Linked DNA regions of Xenopus tropicalis. The protein of the gene in region 6 purifies or fractionates together with the protein of the main gene of each other region. This does not show direct contact. Links are inferred from orthologs where the notes say so. Each region holds a gene or a part of one and is shown on either strand. Other genes may lie near its edges.

Region 1 (3,965 bases), on a different chromosome or scaffold from region 6:
AAGATAAAATGGAAGACCTATAGGGAGGTCCTGAAATTACAACAATGTTTTTATTTTGACCACAACAATTAGATAGCATTTTCACTTACATACTTAAAATAGTTAGAATAGGAATGCTATTAGTTCAAAAACCAGCCCAAATAAATGGTGAAAACTAAATGAAACATTGCTTAGAAATGGTTATTTAGAAAGGTGAAAATATTTCTGGACTTAGCACTGGATAAACATTTTGGTTTCTGCTTTGCAACAGAGCCAGGGATAAGCTAAAGGCGCATTACACATGAAATGATTTGTTTCCGCTCTGGTAAAGAATAACTACTTGCAGCAGCTCATACAAACATAATCTGTAATTTCTATTCTTTACTACATACAATATTCATCCGTAACACCCAGCCACAAAAGGGAAGCACCTATGAGTACATCAGAAAGCCTTAGTCTAAAGGCAGTTCATGCATATTTGTAAAGGCACAAAACAAATCATTTGTCAAAGCGTCATACATGCAACACTGAATAACTGGAACGTCATTCAGACACCCCCACACTTTCAAGTAGCATAAAAAAACAGTGGGATGGGCCACTTCAGAGACTGGATGGGAGCTGTATTAGACATTACAGATCATGTATTTTGTATAAACACATCCTTTGCTTTGATTGTTTTGTAGCAAGAACTCCAGTCTAGAATATTCTGTTAGTACAATCACAGCAGCCATCAGTTCATATAGCCCATTTTGGTGGTGAAATGAATAAGCAACTGTAAATTTCAATCAGACATACATGGCAGATAGTATTTTCTAATATTAATTACCTAACCACAGGAAGATTGAACTGATAGTTCAGAATGAATGGATAACTGTAGTACTGTAAATGTCAATAACAATATTTGTGTTTAGAAAAAACCTTTTCCGCCACCAAAATGCATGCTAAACCTTTTAACTACACATGCTCCTTTTAACTAAAGAAAGGATATTGCACAGTTACACACCGCTCCATTTTATCATCACTGTTTTGGAAAATCAGACATGGATGTTGTATGGGTCACTGGCTTTTACATGCACAAGCCTAATGAAAAGAGATTTGTTTTAAAAATAACCCCTAGCTTTCTACACTAATGGCTATAAATCTCCAAGAAGCGAGTGCCAGGGAGCATTTTATCTTCTGTATATCCCTGGCATTTTTCCATAGTACCAGTATTATATTAAACCATCTCATCCAGCATTTTAAATCAAATGCTGAGCACATAATTTTGCTGCCAGGGTTGCTATGAATTGAGCTGGGGCACAGACCATGCATTACTTCATATAAATGTCCTATCAGCATATGCATTAAACAAAGGGAGGCTAGCTGCATCCTCCCACTGCATTTCATCGGCCACATAAAACTCCTCAATTCATTCTTTCATATTCTATACTGTATAGGCTGCACCCTCCAAGCTTTTTGATCTGTTGCCATAACTCATAATGACATACAGGTATTCTACTGCAGACTGCATATATTGTAAAGTTTCCATTTGCCATCATGACAGCTACTGTTCCTGGCCTTACAAACTGGTATAAGCAATCATTTCTCTGGTCTGTCAGTGTGTAGCACTGCTGCACTGCAGGCATGATGCACCCTGGGTTGGGGTGGATATACAGATACATTGCACTAAAGGGAAGTAAATGAAAAGAGTCCAGGTACAAGAGCTATAGTGGTGCTATATACAAGTGCTAAATGCAGATTATAAAGTCACTATTGTAATGCGAATGCTGCTAAATCCCACACTGCAATGCAGACTGCAGTGCTCAGCCAGATATAGGTGAAGGCAACCAAGTACCTATTGGTATATATCAATCTATTGGTATATAGCAATCTACAAGCTCATGCGGTCAACTTATTCTAGTGTGAAATACATATTTATAAAAAGATAATTATTTTAAACAATTATAAAATATCATAAAGGAACAAAGATCTGAAACATGTAAAGTTTAGGCTGGATAGGGGAGTGTATTCAGTAACAGGAATGTGATTAGATCAGTGCCACAACCAAAAATGATCAAACATATAGGGCGGGGAAGAGGAGTATTTGTACAGAACTGCTTGGTTTCTAGGTGTAGCTAGCATCAATGATGCAAAATATATGATATACATGAGTCAAATGGAAAGACTTATGTAAGTGTAAAACAGATGGACCTGTTGAAATGCAAAGTTACAGATAAATGAATGAAAAACACTGCAGGTGTCATTGGCATGTATGCAGGGCAGGGATCTGGATGGGAGTATATATAAAATAAAGGGGCAGTTGGAAGACTGCTTGTATCGATAATATGGTTATTTGGCTGGAGGGCAGGGGTGATTGGAAGGTGAGGTAATTATGTTAAAAGGGCTGAAATGACAAAGTTGATTAAAATTGACTAGATAACTAGATATAAACTACCTTAGCTGGTTAAAAGGTTGAGCAGATGAGTTACACAAAAAGATTCAGGCAGCCGTAAGAAGAACTGCTTGGCAGTAGTAGAGCGGATAGAATAAGTGGTCGGAAGGTAGAGGTTAGATAAAGTAGGATATGGTTAAGGATACCGGCTTCGGATATTAGGTACAAGAGGCGGTTCAAGGTTAGTACGAGAGTATATGTATGGCTGCAACAGAGCAACTGGATCGTATGGTACAAAAGGAGTGTTAGGAAGTGCAGATGATCCTTACAGGCTGTTTATGAAATGCTCTGTACCAGCGTCAGTCAGCGACTGTATCGCTCTACTCACCGGATCAGTCACTCTCCGGCTGCAGCACCAGGGATGCTCAGATCGCTTTGATCACATGTAGCTCCAGAGAAGTCCGAGTAGAAACAGGACACGCCCGCAATTACCATAACCCCGCCCAGTGCTGTTGAGTCGGCTCTTTTCTCTCTGTCAAGTGCTGTCCCTGACTCTGTACTTGGGTGTGGTCTCAGTGTGTGTGTGTGAGTGTGTGTGTGTGTGTGTCTGTGACCATTAAGCTGAGGTAGTTTCACATAGTGCTGGCTTTATGTACTTCAATATAGGGTAGTTTTATCTAGGTGTAGCGTATTTATCAAATGGTGAACTCTAACATTTACCCTTTGATAAATACGCTTCTAAAAGAACATAAAGTGGTTGGGTTCCTCTGTAGTGAGCTACAATTATGCGCTTTGATAAATGTGCGGTAAAGTAATGGGGATTGAAATTATTATAATAGATATTTTCATAGTTCCGTTATTAAATAAACGGCTGCAAAGAAAATTAAGGAACTCTAAATGGTGTTGATCTATTGTATGTATTATTTTTAATCATGTTTTAATGGGCTGCTGTCACCTTACTATTCTGGAAAACTGTTATTGCTTTAAATGATGATCAGCAGATTGCTAGTAGGGGGCTGGTTTTATCAGATGCAGAGAGTTTTTCATTATTACTATTAGTGCCTATTACAATCCTGCTGAGACTGAAACTCTGCCTTTTTTCTTGTACATTATGACAATTGTTACACAACAACTGTTAAATGCCTTCTTTGTAGATCTTTATCACTCTAAGTTCTTCTGTGGAGATTTGGCTAACTTACAGTTTAAATGGCTTTACCTATTGGCCTTGAACTTGACTGCATTGCCACAACTTGGAATTCCACTGTTGGAGGCTTGGGGTATACTATACAGGTACAGTATAGATTCATCTTTCCTTTTTGCAGATGGAATACAATACACCCTTTGGGGCAATGACACACTGAGCCAGGGCCGGATTTGAAGTTAGGGCGCCCCGAGGCCGCACCCTTTCGGCGCCCGCCCACTTCCTCCTCCCCCCATGCCTTGTGTGCATGCATGTGCACCACAACTCACATACAGAGCAGTGGGGGGGAGGAAGCGCTAATGTTTCCGTGCATCAAACCCCCATTGCTCCATATGGGAGCAAAATTTCATTGTGGCTGGGCTGGGCATACCCCTAAATTTGTGCTGCCCTAGGCCCGGGCCGTTGTGGCCTCGC
Region 2 (4,183 bases), on a different chromosome or scaffold from region 6:
CCTACAATTGTCCGGCCTCCCTTGGTGGTTTCCTCACCGTTACAAAGTACCGAATACCCCCCCCACCCCACCCCGAGCCCCCAGTGTCACTAACGCACAGAGTGGGCGCAGGGTCCCCTACCCACACACACTGTGCCAACACTGCCCAATCAGCAGTCAGAAGGAATGCAGCCAATGGGAGGGGGGCACAGACAGGACTTTATGTATCACTGCCCCCAGTATATGCGCCCCATTACACCCTATATATACCCCCTGTATATTGGATACAGCATCGGGGCTGTGCACCCTGCACCCTACTGGCACTACGGGGGCATAAATGGATCAGGACTGGGGAGCACAGCAGGGCCCCAGGGAACCCCCATATAATTAGGGGGCACTACTCCTCTTTGTTATCAGGGAGCTCTCTGCCCTTTACCCACATACCAAACTGACAGTTATAATAGGGACCCCCTACCTTCAGCCCTGTATCCCAGCAACCCCTTGCACTCATGGTTACAAGACCTCCCTCAGGCAGGTTCTGAAATGGGATGTACCCCAGCGCCCCCCACTGGCCCTGCACCCCAGCGTCCCCCACTGGCCCTGCCCCCCAGCGCCCCCCACTGGCCCTGCCCCCCAGCGTCCCCCACTGGCCCTGCACCCCAGCGTCCCCCACTGGCCCTGTAATCCAGCGTCCCCCACTGGCCCTGCACCCCAGCGCCCCCCACTGGCCCTGCACCCCAGCGCCCCCCACTGGCCCTGCACCCCCCACTGGCCCTGCCCCCCAGCGGCCCCCACTGGCCCTGCCCCCCAGCGGCCCCCACTGGCCCTGCCCCCCAGCGGCCCCCACTGGCCCTGCCCCCCAGCGGCCCCCACTGGCCCTGCCCCCCAGCGGCCCCCACTGGCCCTGCCCCCCAGCGGCCCCCACTGGCCCTGCCCTCCAGCGGCCCCCACTGGCCCTGCCCCCCAGCGGCCCCCACTGGCCCTGCACCCCAGCGGCCCCCACTGGCCCTGCACCCCAGCGGCCCCCACTGGCCCTGCACCCCAGCATCCCCCATTCCAGGATTACAACTCATGCAGCCCAGCAGTACCCCCAAGCCGTACATTCCAGGATTATATCCCATGTAGCCCAGTAGTACCCCCAACCCATACATTCCAGGATTATAACCCATGTAGCCTAGCAGTACCCCCAACCCATACATTCCAGGATTATAACCCATGTAGCCCAGCAGTACCCCCAACCCATACATTCCAGGATTATAACCCATGTAGCCCAGTAGTACCCCCAACCCCTACATTCCAGGATTATAACCCATGTAGCCCAGTAGTACCCCCAACCCATACATTCCAGGATTATAACCCATGTAGCCTAGCAGTACCCCCAACCCATACATTCCAGGATTATAACCCATGTAGCCCAGTAGTACCCCCAACCCCTACATTCCAGGATTATAACCCATGTAGCCCAGTAGTACCCCCAACCCATACATTCCAGGATTATAACCCATGTAGCCTAGCAGTACCCCCAACCCATACATTCCAGGATTATAACCCATGCAGCCCAGCAGTACCCCCAACCCCTACATTCCAGGATTATAACCCATGTAGCCCAGTAGTACCCCCAACCCATACATTCCAGGATTATAACCCATGTAGCCTAGCAGTACCCCCAACCCATACATTCCAGGATTATAACCCATGTAGCCCAGTAGTACCCCCAACCCCTACATTCCAGGATTATAACCCATGTAGCCCAGTAGTACCCCCAACCCATACATTCCAGGATTATAACCCATGTAGCCCAGCAGTACCCCCAACCCATACATTACAGGATTATAACCCATGTAGCCCAGCAGTACCCCCAACCCCTACATTACAGGATTGTAGCCCAGCAGTACCCCCAACCCATACATTACAGGATTATAACCCATGTAGCCCAGCAGTACCCCCAACCCCTACATTACAGGATTGTAGCCCAGCAGTACCCCCAACCCATACATTACAGGATTATAACCCATGTAGCCCAGCAGTACCCCCAACCCATACATTACAGGATTATAACCCATGTAGCCCAGTAGTACCCCCAACCCCTACATTACAGGATTGTATCCCAGCAGTACCCCCAACCCCTACATTACAGGATTGTAGCCCAGCAGTACCCCCAACCCATACATTACAGGATTATAACCCATGTAGCCCAGCAGTACCCCCAACCCCTACATTAGAGGATTGTATCCCAGCAGTACCCCCAAGCCGTACATTAGAGGATTGTATCCCAGCAGTACCCCCAAGCCGTACATTAGAGGATTGTAGCCCAGCAGTACCCCCAACCCCTACATTACAGGATTGTAGCCCAGCAGTACCCCCAACCCATACATTACAGGATTATAACCCATGTAGCCCAGTAGTACCCCCAACCCCTACATTACAGGATTGTATCCCAGCAGTACCCCCAACCCCTACATTACAGGATTGTAGCCCAGCAGTACCCCCAACCCATACATTACAGGATTATAACCCATGTAGCCCAGCAGTACCCCCAAGCCGTACATTAGAGGATTGTATCCCAGCAGTACCCCCAAGCCGTACATTAGAGGATTGTATCCCAGCAGTACCCCCAAGCCGTACATTGCAGGATTAATGTGAGTGCCCCAGAGCCCCCGGTACCTCGGAACTTGAGCTCATGCTGGGGCTCCAGCTGAAGGATCTGCTCCACCTTGGCCATGTCTCCCGTGTGGGCTGGGGGTCCGGGCCTGTCCCGGCGGCGGTGGCGGCTGCAGGAGCGGGTGATGCAGCAAAGCGGCGGAGGGCGGAGGCTGCTGTGACGTCACGGCCCCTGCAAGGCCCGGGGGTGAGCGGCGCGCAGGCGCAAGGGCTGGGGGCGGGGCCGCGGCTGCGCACTGGGGCTCAAGGGCCAACATGGCGGCGCCTGGGGGGGAGGGGCAAGTTAGCGCTGGCAGCGTATGTGCGGGACCCCGTATCCGCCCTGTGTAATGTCACATAGATATCCGGGAATATAAACCCGCGGGATCTCCCCTTATTGGTACCGGGTTGTCCCGCCCCTCCTGCCGGTACCGCTCTCTCCCGCCGCCGGTACCGCTCTCTCCCGCCGCCGGTACCGCTCTCTCCCGCCGCCCGTACCGCTCTCTCCCGCCGCCGGTACCGCTCTCTCTCCCACCGGTACCGCTCTCTCTCACCGCCGGTACCGCTCTCTCTCCCACCGGTACCGCTCTCTCCCGCCGCCCGTACCGCTCTCTCCCGCCGCCGGTACCGCTCTCTCCCACCGCCGGTACCGCTCTCTCCCGCCGCCGGTACCGCTCTCTCTCCCACCGGTACCGCTCTCTCTCACCGCCGGTACCGCTCTCTCTCCCACCGGTACCGCTCTCTCCCGCCGCCCGTACCGCTCTCTCCCGCCGCCGGTACCGCTCTCTCCCACCGCCGGTACCGCTCTCTCCCGCCGCCGGTACCGCTCTCTCCCGCCGCCGGTACCGCTCTCTCCCGCCGCCGGTACCGCTCTCTCCCACCGCCGGTACCGCTCTCTCCCACCGCCGGTACCGCTCTCTCTCACCGCCGGTACCGCTCTCTCCCACCGCCGGTACCGCTCTCTCCCACCTCCGGTACCGCTCTCTCTCACCGCCCGTACCGCTCTCTCCCACCGCCGGTACCGCTCTCTCCCGCCGCCGGTACCGCTCTCTCTCACCGCCCGTACCGCTCTCTCCCACCGCCGGTACCGCTCTCTCCCACCGCCGGTACCGCTCTCTCTCACCGCCGGTACCGCTCTCTCCCACCGCCGGTACCGCTCTCTCCCACCGCCGGTACCGCTCTCTCTCACCGCCCGTACCGCTCTCTCTCACCGCCCGTACCGCTCTCTCTCACCGCCCGTACCGCTCTCTCTCACCGCCCGTACCGCTCTCTCTCACCGCCCGTACCGCTCTCTCTCACCGCCCGTACCGCTCTCTCTCACCGCCCGTACCGCTCTCTCTCACCACCCGTACCGCTCTCTCACCGCCGCCCGTACCGCTCTCTCACCGCCGCCCGTACCGCTCTCTCTCACGCTCTCTCCCGCCGCCGGTACCGCTCTCTCTCCCACCGCCCGTACCGCTCTCTCCCGCCGCCGGTACCGCTCTCTCCCGCCGCCGGGTACCGCTCTCTCCCACCGCCGGTACCGCTCTCTCCCACCGCCGGGTACCGCTCTCTCTCACCGCCC
Region 3 (3,500 bases), on a different chromosome or scaffold from region 6:
CCTACCACTCACATAATAAGTTTGTAATATCTGGCACTGTTTCACTGCACCCTGTGTACATTTTTCTGCAGCAGAGAAATTTTGACACCTCTCAAAAGGTGAAAAAAGCCCTTCTCAACATTTGCATTCTAGCAATCATAGGATCAATCAATATTTCCAAATGTTTCGATTCAGTATCTATTGTAGCAATAGGTCATAAAGCATTTTTGAAAAGACTTAATTTGAAGGTACTGCCATATAGAAAAGTCAGTCAACCTGTGTGGCTAATTTATCATCCTGTTCTATTGGTTGGTAGCAACCATCGCTACTTTCACTTTCCAAATCCTTGCTCCCTAATGCAAATTGCATGTAGGAAAAAAATTGTAGACAATTAAGATAAACTATTAATAAAAAGGTCTCAATGTCTTTTTTAATTAAGGGAATTCGCACCTCTTTTTCTTTTCGATCTATTGCGTCACGCTCCACTTGGAGTTGTGCTTCTAGAGGTATTTCTCCTTTGGAACTAATGACGATGGACTGTCTTCTGAGCTCCACCTTCAAGAAAATGTACATATTACTTAGACTTGTTTATTTAGTATTTAACTTTTCATCCCTCGTCCATCCCTAAATCAGCACACAAAAATCACATCAAAAAGCATTACAGATAGTTTGTGTAACCTATTCTGGTATTTGCCAGAATCAACAGATTGCCAGTCCATTTCTGAATTTATTTATTTATCTACAGAGAGTGAGTAACAACATTTAGGGGGTGGGGTAATCCTATTCTATTCCTAAAAACACACACACCCGTTACATGAATCTTCACTGGTGCTGTGCCTAAAGGTGGCCATACATGTACATGTTAAAGTTCAGGGCTAAATTGTCAGACATGGAGGTAGAAGTAGGGATTCTACCTTCACCTGCCGATTCAGCCCTAAACGCAGACTTTGCTCGGCCGCCTTTTTAACTCAGCCGATCGTCGAGACGACCGATATTTGCAGCCTTTGCAATACAGGTCGGCTCATCGATCCACTATACACACACACCGAATATCGTACTAAACAAGGTTTCATACGATAATATCAGTTAGTTTATGGCAAGTTTTGCGCCTCCATTTGTAAAGCTAATGCTTACTTAACAAATATTGGATCCAAGCACCACAGACACAAGATACAACAAGATAATTGGGTGTGGAGGATCCTTTTTCATTTTGCGTGTGTATGCACCTATCTAGCCATTATCACATATTAAGGTAGGGAGAAGGTCACAAGTAAATTAACTCACCTTCTTAAGGGTATCATCACTGATGAGCAAGGCCTGCTCCAGTTCCCTGATCCGACACTCCAGCTTCTCAATCTCTTCATTCCTTTCTTGAATATCCCGCTGGAACTGTTCTTTGCAGAGCAGCAGTTCATTGCATTTGTCTGTCTTTTCCTTTAGGTTAGTTTCCAGTTTTTCAAGCTTTTTTTAAAAAAATTTAAAAAAAAAAATCAACCAAAAATACCTCTTAAATTGTACATTCGTACATTGGTGGATGCATCTATTTGTATAATTAAACGTGTGAGTTATGGCACAATGTACACAGATCCAAAGGAATACTTTAATATTTAATGGGGCGATTCACTTAGTATATTATAGAATGTCCTATTCCTAGCAACTTTGCAATTGGTCATCATTTATTTTTATAGTTTTATTTTTTTAATTATTTACCTTCCTTTTCTGCCTTTTTTTAGCTTTCAGAGGGGGGTCACTGACAGCAGCAGACTTAAAACTATTGTTCTCTGAGGCTAAAATTCTATCGTTATTGTTACTTTTACTGCTTATCTTTGTACTCAGTCCTTTAACTATTCATATTCCATCTCTCATTCAAATTACTGGCTGGTTTCTTGGGTAATTAAGACATTAGCAACCAGATAGCTGCCGAAATACCAAACTGAAGAGCTGCTGAACAAAAAGCTAAATAACTGAAAAACCACAAAAAAAGAAGGCCTATTGCAAACATTATAAAAATGCACAATAAGGGAAACAAAGGAGCACTGGATCAACAGGTGCTATCGGATAAATACATAAAAACAGAGGTGGGTGTGTCAAAGTGACCTTTCTTATATTTCTTGACAAATTAATTTGTATTTTCCCAGCTTCTTCTATAGGTACAGATGATTCAGATATTTTCACTGGGAACATGATTATAGGCACAGGACCCAATGTACTACTGCAGTGCTGTCCAACTTCTACGGTGCCGAGGGCCGGAATTTCTCTAGCATACATGGTGGAGGGCCGCTAATGGAAGCCAGTTTTGACCACTCCCCTTTTTGAAACCACACCCACTTCAAACCACACCTATTTTATCACAATGGTGGTAACACAGCAAAATCCCAAATGCTTGGTCCTTACTGTGGGGATATCAACCATCATTCATATGTGAAAGAATTATGTCATATTAAGATATACCCTTAAATTCCATATGCCTCCTCCTCCCCTGTGGATAGCAGAGCAACCCCCAGTACATAATTACACACCTTAGGGACCATTTAATGGCTATTTCCAACTGCTAACAAACTCCCACAACAAACCCCTGCCAGGTTCACCTCCCACAAGCAGCATAGAGCAAGCAGAGTATGGCACACACAGGCAGCACTCTGCCTGTCCTACGCTGTCTGTGTGTGCCATACTCTGCCTGTCCTACCCTGCCTATGTGTGCCATACTCTGCCTTCTCTATGCTGCCTCTGTGTACCATACTCTGTCTGCCCTACCCTGACTGTGTGTGCCATACTCTGCCTGCCCTACCCTTCCTATGTGTGCCATACCCTCCCTGACCTATGCTGCCTGTGTGTGCCATACTCTACCTGCCCTATGCTGGCTGTATGTGCCATACTCTGCCTACAGTACCTATGTCTGAGGTGTGAAGAAGTGAACAATGGGAGTGATTACAGCCTGAGCCTGAGGTGTGAACACTGCAGGGGGTGAACCATGCAGGTATTAAAAGGTGTGAAAAACACAGGGGATTACATTTTTAAACAATACAGGGGGATTACAGCCTGAATCTGAGGTGAAAACCATGCAGGGGGCCAGTTAATCTCAGTACTGTTACCATTTAATGCTTACTCAAAGGTAAGCCATCAAAGCAGCCAGACAGGTGGGGGGCCACACAGAGGGGGGTCGCGGGCCGCATGCGGCCCGCGGGCCGCCAGTTGGACAGCACTGTACTACTGTATCAAGCACACTGCCAGCTGTTACTGTACAAAACGTGGTAAGCTTGATGGTATTTTCCAGCTGCCTCTGACTTGACACTGGACAGACTGATGTTCAATAAAAAGAACTAGTCTTTAAAAAAAGCTAATTATACAGGTATGGGATCTTTTATCCAAATTATAGGAAGGCTGTCTCCCACAGACTTCATAAGGTATGGAGATACAAATTATGTAAAGATCCTTATCTGGAAAACCCCAAGTCCTGAGCATTCTAGATAACAGGCCCTATACCTGTACAACAGAGCAAAGCACCTTTAATCTGCAGCAGT
Region 4 (2,182 bases), on a different chromosome or scaffold from region 6:
ATTACATCACAGGTCATTTTACTTGAACATTTTGTAGATGTTTTCAGTCGTCGATTGTCACCCTGTGGCTTTCCACACGGGGCATTAACCCATCTCCCATTCTCTTTAGCCATTTGTTAAGCAGCCAAAGAGGCCGGTAGGTGCTATTACACTAAACCTGAAGAGCTGTAGGTTTGCTATCATTGTTTTAGAAATACGGAAGCAGCTAAACTTGTCTTGAATTGCAGGGTTAACTGAAAAATATCTTGAGCTTTTGTAGGTCAGTACCTTAAAAACTGCATTGGTAAGCCAAGAGCTAGCTGCTGTATTCCTTATGAATACTGCTGGCCTTTAGCCAAATAATGACTACTAATGACTCCCTAGTACCATAAGTAAACTTTGTTGGGTTCTTTATGGGTGTCAGGCAGACTCACTGTTCCCTGTAGAATATATTAATAAGCAAGAGAATAACTTCTATATTTTCTGCAGAGATAACAATGAAAAACCAACCCAGACATCCTAAATTGGATAGGAAAAACACTGCTAAATCCCATGTTGACTCTGCATGATGGAACTTCTTTCTGTATTGTGCAACTCTTCATATTCACAAGCCTTAAGAGGCTCTGATGTAGAGATAACATTTGCAGGAATCCATTTCATTAGGCTTACTAAACCTGCTCTGTGCTGGTTGGTGGTGCCAGTCCCATATATCCAGTGTTATAATCAAATCTGCTACTGGTTAGTTGGATTTCTAGAAGAAATACAACTAACCCTCCTTAACTCTCTGCAAGTCCATGTTTGCATAGTTTCAGTGATTTGTAAAAGTTCTGTAGAACATTCTGAACAATGCTAAAAAATATTTGTGTACTGTACAACCACTCCTGCTACGCTGTAATCATCAACTCAAGTCCATAGGAGCATTCTGTTGCAGGGAATTGTTTGAGCTTCTTCTGGACACACATGTACACATGGAAACCAGTTCCTCTCACCCACTGACACTGGAGGTTTATAAGTATCACATTTACTGATGCAGGTTGCTCAACCTGTTATAGTCTTAAGCTGGTCATTGTTGGTGTTACTTTGAGTGTCCATATACGCACAAATACGACTGCTGTAATTAAGAATTTATCCGGATGTCTCTTGAATAAAATAGATTTTTGAGTCCCATCATATTGCTACAAAATATTTGGATTTTCTCGTGAGGATTGTCCTGGAAGACATCTGCTCTGAAAATGATCTGTTACACGGGTAGATGGAGGATCATTCTAAAATGATCATTTTGTGGTAGTTATATCCATGTATAGTCCCATTGTGTTCACTTCTATTTTCAGCTGATAATTAACTCCCAATTCTGTTATCTGTAACCTCCATCATATTCTGTTATTATTTTGGTATTTGGTTCAAACAATGGCAGTCGTAGTGCTAAAGTCGTGAAAACAGAGCATTGGCTTTCTAATATTGCATCTTGTTATATAAAATCTACTCAATCACAGCAAAATCAGTAAAATCAGAGCCTTAGTAAAGGTTACTACCTGGCTGCTGGCTGATGGAGAACACCTTGACCCCGAGGTCCTCAGATTTTTTTGTTCGGCTTCCCATTTTTTGGATGAAATTTGGGAAGACCGCATTTGGTAGGGGGTTCCCCTGTTTGGTTGGGAAGACCCCATGATATGGATACATGGTCATAATGGTCACTTTCATTGTTGCAGGGATAACAAGCAGTGAAGAAACAATCACTGCTAAAACACTTGGGCCACCCCACCATTTTTACTGCATAGGAAGCTAGTCAGTCCAAAACGTTTGCAAACAAATGCATGCATCCATTCATATGAAATAGTTTTGACATAAATTCGGCATATTAGCAATCCTGCCAGAACAAAAACATTAATGCAATGTATCAGTAAACAGTACATAGGGACTATGGGCCTTTTGTGTTCTAGATTATTTCTTCTATTCTTCCAACCAGCACCCAGGGTGTAACCTTTAATGACTGACAGCCTCCTTCTGCACAAGGCTGCATTGTTACTGAGTAGCTTGGATCAATCTGTGGCAAGCCCAGTGATCCGGGCACTTTATGGATTTCAGCTGAGGTTTCTTTCGAGGAGGTTCTTGGAAGACGTCCATTACATGGCTTTGAAACTTTGCTGATCTCTGTTGCACCGGACCTGTAGTAGGGTAGGAGTACATTCAGAGAATTCTGGGA
Region 5 (3,500 bases), on a different chromosome or scaffold from region 6:
CATTGTTTACAAATGTGCATATGAAGAGTCAATTGAATGCTTCTAATCATCATTATCTGATTAACAAGTGACACATTTGAAATGTACTGTGTAAATTTAAATGCTGTTAGTGCCACATAGTGTAATATGAAGGGATTTGTTTTTCAAACTGATAAGGCCCAGTTTGCCAAATATTGAGGTTGAAATGTGTAGTAACAATGTAATTCAGAGCTGGAGGCCTCAGGCCAGATGTGGCCCTCCAATAGATTTTTATGATCTCATATTTTTTCTAAAGAAGCTAGAGAATGTATATGACTTTTGTAGCTTATAGAGAATGGTAAAAGCCATACCTTTTGAGAAATGTCAACCCCTGAATAAACTGTATTTCATTAATCCAAAGCATATTATATATAATATTTTACTGCTGCATACTCTTAGCAGCTGTGTTTTGTAACTCAATAAAATACCTTTAATACAAAATGTCTGTATTTTGTAAAAACAAATTTGGATTTCATCGCACACAATGTATTATCGGGGTCTAAAAAACAGGTTCTCCCTACACGTTCCTGGTATTCTCCTCCGCTCCTCTCAGAGCCTCCGCCTTTTTACACCATCCACACCCACTGCGCTCTCTTGTATTAAACCTTTCTATCTTGCTGCTCGTTATCTCTGGAACTCTATCCCTGAATTCCTCCGTAGGGAACACTCACTCCCTGTCTTTAAGAAAAAACTCATATGCTACCTTCTGTAGCACTAAAACATTATTTTGTCTAGTCCTGCACTTAAGGGCAAATGCCCATACCTTGTGCACTCTTACCTTCCAGTTTGTGCCTGTATGTTACTAGACCGCTTAGATTGTGTATTTATACTTATTTATTATAACACTTGTCCTCCCTGTGTCTAATTGTGTATATTGCACAGCGCTGCGTATCCTTGTGGTGCTTTATTAATAAAGTTAGACATACATACATACACATACAAGTTTGCAGAAGCTAAAACTGTTTATTACATGACATTAATGACATATTTATGATTAGAGGTCTTTGCCTGATGAATGTTGTTGTTAATAATAATAATAATTGTATTTGCAACATATAGGTAAAGCAATTCTGAAATACAATGATTCTTCTCTTTTAGTAACTTGCTTGTACATTTGCTGATTCAAAAAATTTAAATATATTTTTTATTTTTCTTATAATCTTAACAAAGCTAGTGTTTATTATAATAATCAGGGCTCTTATGACCATAAGGTGACTGAGTACCTCTCTTCCTGCTCTACATTATGGAAAGTGACAGCAAATCCCACTACATGAGGCACACATATAGCTCCAATTCCTATATGCTGCAGCAGTACCTGATAATTGTTGTAATTGAACCCCAATTTAAAGAATATGAATAGGAATGCTGTTTTGCTGGAGTGTAGCTATAGAGATGTACTTGGAAAGCATCAGATATAACTAGTGATGTGCCATATCAGAATTAAATAGAGTCTGCCATTTAAAATGTTATTCTTGAACTGACAAATGTATTTTTTCAGTTGTAATATTGATGTGTAGGCAGCCATCTCAGTGCATTGTGTCTGATTCTGAGCTTTCACAAGGAACCAGTGCAACACATTAGAACTGCTTTTAGATAAGCTATTGGTTATTCTAATCCATGTAAACTGAAGCAGTCCCAATCCGGACTTGGATTTCTTATTGTTGAGTACCATTCAGATATCTACTGGCTGTGGCACTCACTGGAAATTAAGATCAATCATGGCTAGCTCCATGTGAAATTTCAAAATTAAATATTAAAAAATATGTTTGAACTTTTATAAAAAGGTTTTCAATGCAGGATTCTGCTGGAGAATCTCTATTAACTGATGCATTTTGAAAAAACATGTTTTCCCATGACAGTATTACCTTAAGTTTATAAGGCCATTTAACTGCCATTGTTCCTCTCATCTGACAATGATTCAAAATTATGAACTGTTTCAGGATCCCACTCACATAAGATACAAAGAAAAATCCCCTGCTCATTCAGGAAATGTTAAAATGGCAGCTTTGCTAAGTATTCCAATAAAAACATTTGCCAACAATATAAAAGAGGAAGTGAATTAGATCACAAGGGACCTTGGACTGAACCTTGGACCTACACTGAAGGATTCTCTAGCTGTAGAAAGGCAAAGATCTAATAAACTATAATATTCTTAACTGCATGCTTTAATTTTACAATGACATGCCCTGATTTAATGTGATAAAAAGCTTGTGGAAATACACAAAAACCCATATTATGCAGTATGCTTCTAGTCTGTAAGATCAAGGGCTTAAAGGCTGATGACAGATGATTGATTTTTTAAGGTTAATTTGATAAAATTAATTATAATTACAATCAATGCTGAAGGAGGAGATAGACATGATAGTATACCACTGCAGACAAAAGGTCCTTGGACAGGTAGTTATTTGTAGGTACCCACCTGATACAGATATCCACCTTGACTAACCATAAACTTTACAAAACAAATAGGGTATAGAATGTTAGCCTTTTTTATATATACATTATGTATTCATTAGTTTAACATAAGCAATTAATAAAGAAAAGGTGTTGTTGTATAACATATACTACAACATGTTTTTGCTTTGGGTGCCCAAGTGAGTTATGGGATTTCAATCACTTTTAAAGTGGAAGTGGTTTAGAGAGAGTTCAATAACGTAGAATACTTTGCCAGCTGCAAAAACAAAAGCAATTTTTCTAACTTAAATCTGTTAAAACAACATTTCTAAAATAAAATCCAGGAAACAGGCTTGGTTTACTTTAAGTGCAAACTAGGATATGATATTGCACTAATCTGTTAATTTACAAAATGATCAAAATTGTATTACAACTTAAAAATGCAAGCTTACTCTTAAATGTAACAGTGTAATATACTTACCAGCTACCCTTGTCGTTCCGTCACCAGAAAGGGATGTTTCTGTATTTTGTAAATTAAAAGTTGTGAGGTCAGGGATCTCAGAGTAAATGTAGTTCACAGCATCTGGTATTAGAAAAGAGAAGAAAAGGGTTTGGTTAGCAGCAGCATTGTATAGTCAGAAAGCCATAGCAGTGCTTAAACAGCAGTGTGTCAACTTTGTCTAAACAATGGGAATTAAAGCTCTCTACTCTGTAACTGGATGGCAGCAAAATGCAGATTCATTGCCTTGTGAATGGCATTAAATAGATTAGCAGAGGTAGGAGGGAACAGGTCTCTTCAAGCTGCATTAAACCATCACATACTGCTTCATCTTGATGGGAAACTTTTATCACTTGGTCATTAAGGTCTGTGGGGAAACTGAAATAGATTTCTTTCATCAAATTGAATGTGTGTCTTTCGCTGAAGTTGCTAGATTATCTGCACCTGATCAGAAACACATTTGAGGGCATTTAGAAAAATAAATAACTACTGGCCAACCTAAGTATGATACTCTGAATTTGGATAACCCAAAGGCTGTACTGTCAGTTCGATTTCCACTGGCTGCTTTTCTAGGCTGTTCACAAGCACT
Region 6 (3,500 bases):
GCACCCCCATATATAAATAAGGCATGGCCAACATCTTCCATTTTGTGCCAGCAGCTATCCGTATGACATCCCATATGTATACTCTGAGAATATCTAACAAGTTGTATATAATATGTTGTCACTTTATTTACTCCATCTCCTTCCCTTTTGATACAACTCCCTCTCTGCACTATCCTAAAACTGGCCCCGCGATACCCAGCATCCTTAGGAACAGCTAGCTGGGGATGCTGGGAGAAGTTTAGAAATACAATAAGGCTGCTGGTCTGTATTGTGCAGTGACAGCGTAATGCACTCTAGGACTTATTCTCTCCCCCCACCCATGTCTCTTCTGCCCTGGATGTGCTATTGCCTCACCTTTCCTAATGTCTTTTCTTCTCCTCCCTCCAGGATAACAGCAATCTGTATATGGTCATGGAGTATGTCGCCGGTGGGGAGATGTTCTCTCATTTGCGCAGAATCGGGCGCTTCAGGTAAGCATAGGCCAAGACTGCTAATGCCCTTACCAGTATGCGCCCATTGGGCCCTGAATGCTTGAGAGTGGTCACAAGGTGATAGCCACTATCAGGGTTAGGATAGTTATCAATAACTTCAGAATAATGGCTCCTTATGTACAGAACTGCAGCCTGCTCTCTGCAAACACCAATGCTCCTTATTAATATTCAAGTATTTGGGCTTTATGGTATGTTTCTCTGTCCCAAACACCTTCTGGTTACAGACTGGTCTCTCATAGATGTGTTTATAGCCAAGAAACCTTAAACTTGTACCCCTGAAAGGAAAACTATACCCCCAGAATGAATACTTAACCAACAAATTGTTTATATCATGTTAAGTAGCCTATTAAAAAATCGTCAAACTGGAATACATATATATCGGTAAAAATTGCCTTTTTACACCCTTTCCCTTGAGCCGCCATTTAGTGATGGGCTGTGTGCTCCCTTAGAGATCAGCTGACAGGAAATAATGCAGCTCTAACTGTAACAGGAAGTAGTGTGGGAGCAAAAGGCAGAACTCTGTCCATTCATTGGCTGATGGGGCCTAGCATGTATGTGTGCCTTGGCTTGTTTGTGTGCACTGTGAATCCTATGATCCCAGGGGGGGCCCTTAGTACTTTAAATGGCAGTTTCCTATTTAGGATTACCCAGTGGCTAATACTCCTTAAAAAGTATATTTTTATGAAAATGGTTTATTTAGATGAAGCAGGTTTTTACATATGAGCTGTTTATACAATATATTTTTATAGAGACCTTCATTGTTTGGGGGTATAGTTTTCCTTTAGTGCCCATTACCTTTATACGGACTGTCCCTGCCATATATGTTCCCTCTGATGTGCTCACAAACACTTTATGGGCCAAACTTGGGGCAGACCGGCTGTTTATCTCATAACCTGATATATTATAAATCCCTGGGACTAAAGCAGGGTGACAGTCTCTAGCCATGTTGTAATTCAGGAAGTAAGCAATTCACCCCTAAATCTCACCCTGTTTGCCCTTCAGAGTGTTTCCCTTGGGGGGTGCAGGGGTAGAACCTGTCTCATTGTTCGTGAATCACAACCCTCAGTCCAATTGACCTACCTTTTAAGTTTTTGAGAGGAAACTGAGAGTGAACATATAAACAGATTATGCAGTAGATCATACAGTCCGCTGTGCCAACACTAAGGTACCAAGTGTCAGCACAGAAGAGTCTATGGTTCAGGGGGTGGCCTTACTGCCAGCGCTAAATGAGAGAAACCCAGGATCCCAGTGGTGCCATAGAGCCGTACAAACTCCTTTGCCACTGTCCCGTCACGTCCCCCTATAGGTTTACATCATGATGTTCAGATACGGCTTCTATTCCTCTCCAACTAATGTTCTACCTTCTCTCTGTGCCGGTTCTAACACCCGGATGTTACCGGAGATGGACTTTGCCTCATTTCCTCTGACAGCTGCTGTGGGCAAGCCCATGGTGATTTCCAAGTTCTGTCTCCTTTATCAGCACCATGCTGCTTATCTGTGTATTTGCATGGGCAATTATACGGGCTGACGGTATAACCATACACCCAATTGGAGAAGTACACCGCCTTCCTCATCTATGGGTCCTCTCAGTAAATATTGTCCTTTGTACACATGGCACTGACCTATCATTCAGCCCTTTTATTGAGATTGTGCATCACATCTGTCCCTCTTTGAATGGAGCTTACAGCCTACTTGCCCTAGCACATACTCACACTCAAACACACACTCATGATTGGAGTTCCAACCTATACAATGGCTTACAGAGCTTGTGTGCCCCTGAGAGATTGGTGGCTGCCCCAGGGTTCCCCTTGCCTTATCACACACATTCCACTGCTAGGTGCAGCCGGCTGCAAGGATGGAGCTGGAAATGAAGTGAGCGGTGTGTATACAGCAGACGTTTAGGGTTAGGACCTCCTTATAGGCATAGGTTTTGTTGGGGGAGGAATAGACAGAGCAACACTGAACTCTGAGGCAACCTGCTCTGCACTGACTGGTCCATCCCCCCCCCCCCTCCCCAATCTGGTAACCAAGCTGCCCCCTTTCCACTTGGGGTGAGTATTCTGAGATTTGTAGATCTTTCTTTAGCTGATGTCTGCAGTTCTAACTGCTTGCAAATAAAAGTAATGGCCAGGCCAGCACTGTTTATTAGAATACAGAAATCTGTGCATCTCTATACAGCGAGCATTGGGGTATTGGTACATATCATTACGCCTAACGTTTTGTTTCTCCTGTCCCCACAGTGAACCTCATGCACGCTTCTATGCATCCCAGATTGTATTAACTTTTGAATATCTGCACGCCCTGGATCTTATATACAGAGACTTGAAACCCGAGAATCTCCTCATAGACCAGCAGGGATACATCCAGGTAATACACCCCTTGTGCCAGCAGATGGCAGCTTTCTTACAGGTCCCCAGTGTGTATACAATAAACCTATAACTGTATATGTTTGGTACTTTTGCCATTATGAGGGCCCAGGGCATGTACCCACTGCTCTTGCTAAACCCATTTATAATAACCTTCAGTAATGAACTGGGGGCATGGTACGACTTGGGAAGCCAGATATGGAATCACACTTATATGCTGTTTTCCAGGTGACGGATTTTGGCTTTGCAAAGAGAGTGAAAGGGAGGACCTGGACCCTGTGTGGGACACCAGAGTACCTGGCGCCAGAAATAATCCTTAGCAAGGTGAGTATGACCCTCCCTGTAGGGTATTTTCTTGGCTTTATGCTCGGAGCTCCCCCCTACATTCCTTTATGTAGCTCAAACTGAGTCTGATAGTGGAGATCCAGCTGTTATGGCAGCGTGCCCTGGGCAGTGGGGCAGTAGGGCTGAGACTGATTTACTCGGCAGGTTAGAAGGCCTGAGAGGATTTTCTTGGTTTTCTCCCACAATGCCCGCTACATCTGACACTGGCATCTTTTGCTTCCATGCCAGCTCCTTATACTCCTGGTCACAGAAATGTATGGGAAAAAATGAATGACATCCCAGGCCCTGGCGTATTTAG
Region 7 (2,893 bases), on a different chromosome or scaffold from region 6:
GTATACTGACCCTTTAATACCAATAGGATCTTTACAAGCTTTCATTGCACTGAAGGCAGAGCCATTCATAAATACACAGAAAATCAGACTGTACAATTATCAAAGTCAGCACAAACACCAAACTTCATGAGAACCCAACTATGACAGATAGAAAAAGGTTATCCTTCATAATGATATAGTATATACAGATTTTATTTTTTAATGTTAAATATAATGGGATATGCCAAAGAAATTAAAAAAAAAAAAAACCAAAAAAAAAAAAAAAAAACCACACAGTTGCTTCACAAGAAGAATATGAACCGCAATATATTGAAATTAAAGGACAGAATTTACACTGAAGAGACAGCATCCCAAGATATCTCCGGCATTTACCTGAATGAGATTAGCAATCTACAGAAATCATATTGCAAAAGATAACAGATAAATTTAAAAGGATTAAAATAACAATTTACAAGACAATTTAAACTTTGTTTGAACATATTAAAACCACAGAAAAATTATTTTTTTTTTTTTAGATTACTTCCACCTCCCCACCATAAAGAATTGAACATATGACAGACACTTGCTGCTGATGAACGAACAATAGTCCCATAACCACAGGTTTTTTTTTTGTTTTGTTTTTTTTTTTTTAATTCTGCTTCCCCAACTGTGAGATTGTTAAGGTGGTGCCTATGTGATTCTGTACACAAAACAGCCTGTAGAACAATTCTACCGAAAGTACTGGTAGATAGCCTTTCTGGCCAGGAGGGAAAAAATTGCGCATCACATGCTTTACAAGATGAACTTTCCTAGAAAGAATCCTATGAAAATTGCTGCAATGACAACAACAAGAGATGGAATAGGGATGCCTTGATCTCGTAACATTTTGCCTGATTTATCTGATGCCTTCCTCATTCGTAAAGTTTCCTCCTAGAAAAAAAAATTAAAAAATGAGATCAATTAAGAAACTATAAAAGATGCAAGTTTAAATGTAAACCCTTATAGCACAAAGGAATAAAACTCCTATGAATATTCATAAAGAGAAAAAGATAATCATAATTCTTGGTCCTGTATAAGTGTTGGAGAATGGGGAACTGAAGATTCAGATAATATGCCTGACATAGCCTTTAAAATTAAAAAGCAGTAGGCAAGTGGATAGGCCAATGAGATTGATGCCAAAATTTTGACTTGTATGTATAGTCATATATAGTGAGAAACTAATAGAGAATCATGACAAAGGGGAAGATCCAGGATAAAATGGATACATTACATAGGAGAGGTTGCAATATAGAAAACCAGGACAAACAGAGAAGACTGGGCTGAAATTGTTTTTGGGGTCAAGGACATTAATGCACTGCAGTGGCAAGTTAATAGCAAATCTTGAGGATTTGTTCTATTCCTCCTAACTGCTGAAAGTTCTGAAAATTGGCCTTAAAGAGCTATGAATGCATACAATTTAGAAGGTAATAATCCCATGTAAATGCACATGTATTAAAGGGATTCTGACATAAAAAATGTAGTCCTCAAAATAATGTACATCAAAAGTTAGCTATGAATTATATTGATTAGGTTTTTTTTTGCCCAGATGTCTGCTTTATTTAATATAGTTACCTGAATGTCTGAAACCCGACTGGCACTTCTCAACCTGTCAATTAGTGTTTCACTTCACTGACGTCAGCTGAAGCTGGGCGGATCTATTTTTTTCCTCCCCTTAATTAATTAATTCCTTGCAGTCTGTGTGTCCCCCACACCACAGACATCAAATAACTTTCACTGAGCACTGCATGTAAAGGTGGCCATACACTCACCGATAATATCGTACAAAACCTCGTTTCGTACGATATTCGGTGCGTGTATGGTATGCCGGCGAGTCGTCGGGAAGCTGCTGATATCTGCCGACTCGCCGAAAGGACCAGTTTGAAAATTTTGATCGGGCGCCTGACCAAAATCTCCCTTCAGCGCTGAATCGGCAGAAGGAGGTAGAAATCCTATTGTTTCAGCCCTGAATGGTGTGTGGCGGATCTGACGATGTTTCGTGCGATCGTCAGATCGCCACGTGTATGGCCAGCTTAAGTGTCTTCTCAATAAATCTTCGCGGCCAGAACTATACTTACTACTGCTGTGATTATTATGAAGGAACGCACTCCGGTACAGATCAAAATCATTGCTGCGCATGCCTGCTATAGAGCTCTGTTGTCCATACATGACGGAGACAGGCCAGTTTATAATCACCTAACTTAAGATACCACCTGCATGTTCAAAGGGTATCAGAACAAATATGCTTAGAAGGGAATGCCTGAACACTTCACTGTCCACAGTTGTACTTCAGCATTCAAATATTTAATTAGAAATAGTTTTTATGTGCAGCACTGATTTCGAATTGGCTAGGATTTTCAAACTAAAATCAAGGGCAGTGTTTTCAAACAACAACAAACAGCTGCTGCCCAAACATGGCAGCCCCCTCAGAGAGAAACACATGAGATCAGAATGGCAATGTAAAAGTGATAGTTACGTGGTTCTAGGTTGAAATTAAAGAGATAATACAACAATAATGCAATGAAAGGTTTAAAAGACAACAACATTTTTGGTGTCAGTATCACTTTAAACACTTGTATAACCAACACAAAGAGATCTTACTTTTAGAACTTGGTTTTCATCTGATAGTTTGATCATTTCAGATTGCAGTCGCTTACATTCCTCCATTAACTTCCGTGTTTCAGTGTCATCCATGGAAGAACTGCCTTTTGTTCCAGGAAGACATGAATACAATTTGGTTGACTCATGTGTCTGAAAACAAATAATTACAATAGTCAGTTACTGCATTTTAGAATGGTTTCTACATGTGCTTATTAAATCTCTTCAGCTTTGGAAAATAGATATATGTACTCTAAGCTACACATGCTATGTGTGTCTA

What was found.
Region 1: the proteins of prkaca (region 6) and map2 purify together in Homo sapiens (affinity purification with mass spectrometry; 3 studies listed by BioGRID and IntAct, with this or other methods). This does not show direct contact. The link is inferred for Xenopus tropicalis from reciprocal best matches to the Homo sapiens genes PRKACA and MAP2.
Region 2: the proteins of prkaca (region 6) and vapb purify together in Homo sapiens (affinity purification with mass spectrometry; 4 studies listed by BioGRID and IntAct, with this or other methods). This does not show direct contact. The link is inferred for Xenopus tropicalis from reciprocal best matches to the Homo sapiens genes PRKACA and VAPB.
Region 3: the proteins of prkaca (region 6) and akap9 purify together in Homo sapiens (affinity purification with mass spectrometry; 7 studies listed by BioGRID and IntAct, with this or other methods). This does not show direct contact. The link is inferred for Xenopus tropicalis from reciprocal best matches to the Homo sapiens genes PRKACA and AKAP9.
Region 4: the proteins of prkaca (region 6) and pde4dip purify together in Homo sapiens (affinity purification with mass spectrometry; 5 studies listed by BioGRID and IntAct, with this or other methods). This does not show direct contact. The link is inferred for Xenopus tropicalis from reciprocal best matches to the Homo sapiens genes PRKACA and PDE4DIP.
Region 5: the proteins of prkaca (region 6) and palm2 purify together in Homo sapiens (affinity purification with mass spectrometry; 5 studies listed by BioGRID and IntAct, with this or other methods). This does not show direct contact. The link is inferred for Xenopus tropicalis from reciprocal best matches to the Homo sapiens genes PRKACA and PALM2AKAP2.
Region 7: the proteins of prkaca (region 6) and vapa purify together in Homo sapiens (affinity purification with mass spectrometry; 4 studies listed by BioGRID and IntAct, with this or other methods). This does not show direct contact. The link is inferred for Xenopus tropicalis from reciprocal best matches to the Homo sapiens genes PRKACA and VAPA.

Annotation. Positions count from the first base shown.
Region 1 is NC_030685.2:55,867,946-55,871,910, reverse strand, and holds the start of map2 (microtubule-associated protein 2), read right to left. Parts: upstream 2,801-3,965; 5' UTR 2,739-2,800; intron 1-2,738. UniProt on the Homo sapiens protein: The exact function of MAP2 is unknown but MAPs may stabilize the microtubules against depolymerization. They also seem to have a stiffening effect on microtubules.
Region 2 is NC_030686.2:2,710,335-2,714,517, reverse strand, and holds the start of vapb (vesicle-associated membrane protein-associated protein B/C), read right to left. Parts: upstream 2,801-4,183; 5' UTR 2,702-2,800; coding exon 2,644-2,701; intron 1-2,643. UniProt on the Homo sapiens protein: Endoplasmic reticulum (ER)-anchored protein that mediates the formation of contact sites between the ER and endosomes via interaction with FFAT motif-containing proteins such as STARD3 or WDR44.
Region 3 is NC_030682.2:31,557,614-31,561,113, reverse strand, and holds part of akap9 (A-kinase anchor protein 9), read right to left. Parts: intron 1,441-3,500; coding exon 1,264-1,440; intron 535-1,263; coding exon 430-534; intron 1-429. UniProt on the Homo sapiens protein: Scaffolding protein that assembles several protein kinases and phosphatases on the centrosome and Golgi apparatus. Required to maintain the integrity of the Golgi apparatus. Required for microtubule nucleation at the cis-side of the Golgi apparatus.
Region 4 is NC_030680.2:118,199,742-118,201,923, reverse strand, and holds part of pde4dip (myomegalin), read right to left. Parts: intron 2,145-2,182; coding exon 2,002-2,144; 3' UTR 1-2,001. UniProt on the Homo sapiens protein: Functions as an anchor sequestering components of the cAMP-dependent pathway to Golgi and/or centrosomes.
Region 5 is NC_030677.2:108,637,168-108,640,667, forward strand, and holds part of palm2 (paralemmin-2 isoform 1 (palm2)), read right to left. Parts: intron 2,996-3,500; coding exon 2,894-2,995; intron 1-2,893. UniProt on the Homo sapiens protein: Binds to regulatory subunit (RII) of protein kinase A. May be involved in establishing polarity in signaling systems or in integrating PKA-RII isoforms with downstream effectors to capture, amplify and focus diffuse, trans-cellular signals carried by cAMP.
Region 6 is NC_030679.2:134,183,959-134,187,458, reverse strand, and holds part of prkaca (cAMP-dependent protein kinase catalytic subunit alpha), read left to right. Parts: intron 1-387; coding exon 388-470; intron 471-2,731; coding exon 2,732-2,858; intron 2,859-3,085; coding exon 3,086-3,181; intron 3,182-3,500.
Region 7 is NC_030682.2:104,692,147-104,695,039, reverse strand, and holds the end of vapa (vesicle-associated membrane protein-associated protein A), read right to left. Parts: intron 2,767-2,893; coding exon 2,617-2,766; intron 910-2,616; coding exon 772-909; 3' UTR 501-771; downstream 1-500. UniProt on the Homo sapiens protein: Endoplasmic reticulum (ER)-anchored protein that mediates the formation of contact sites between the ER and endosomes via interaction with FFAT motif-containing proteins such as STARD3 or WDR44.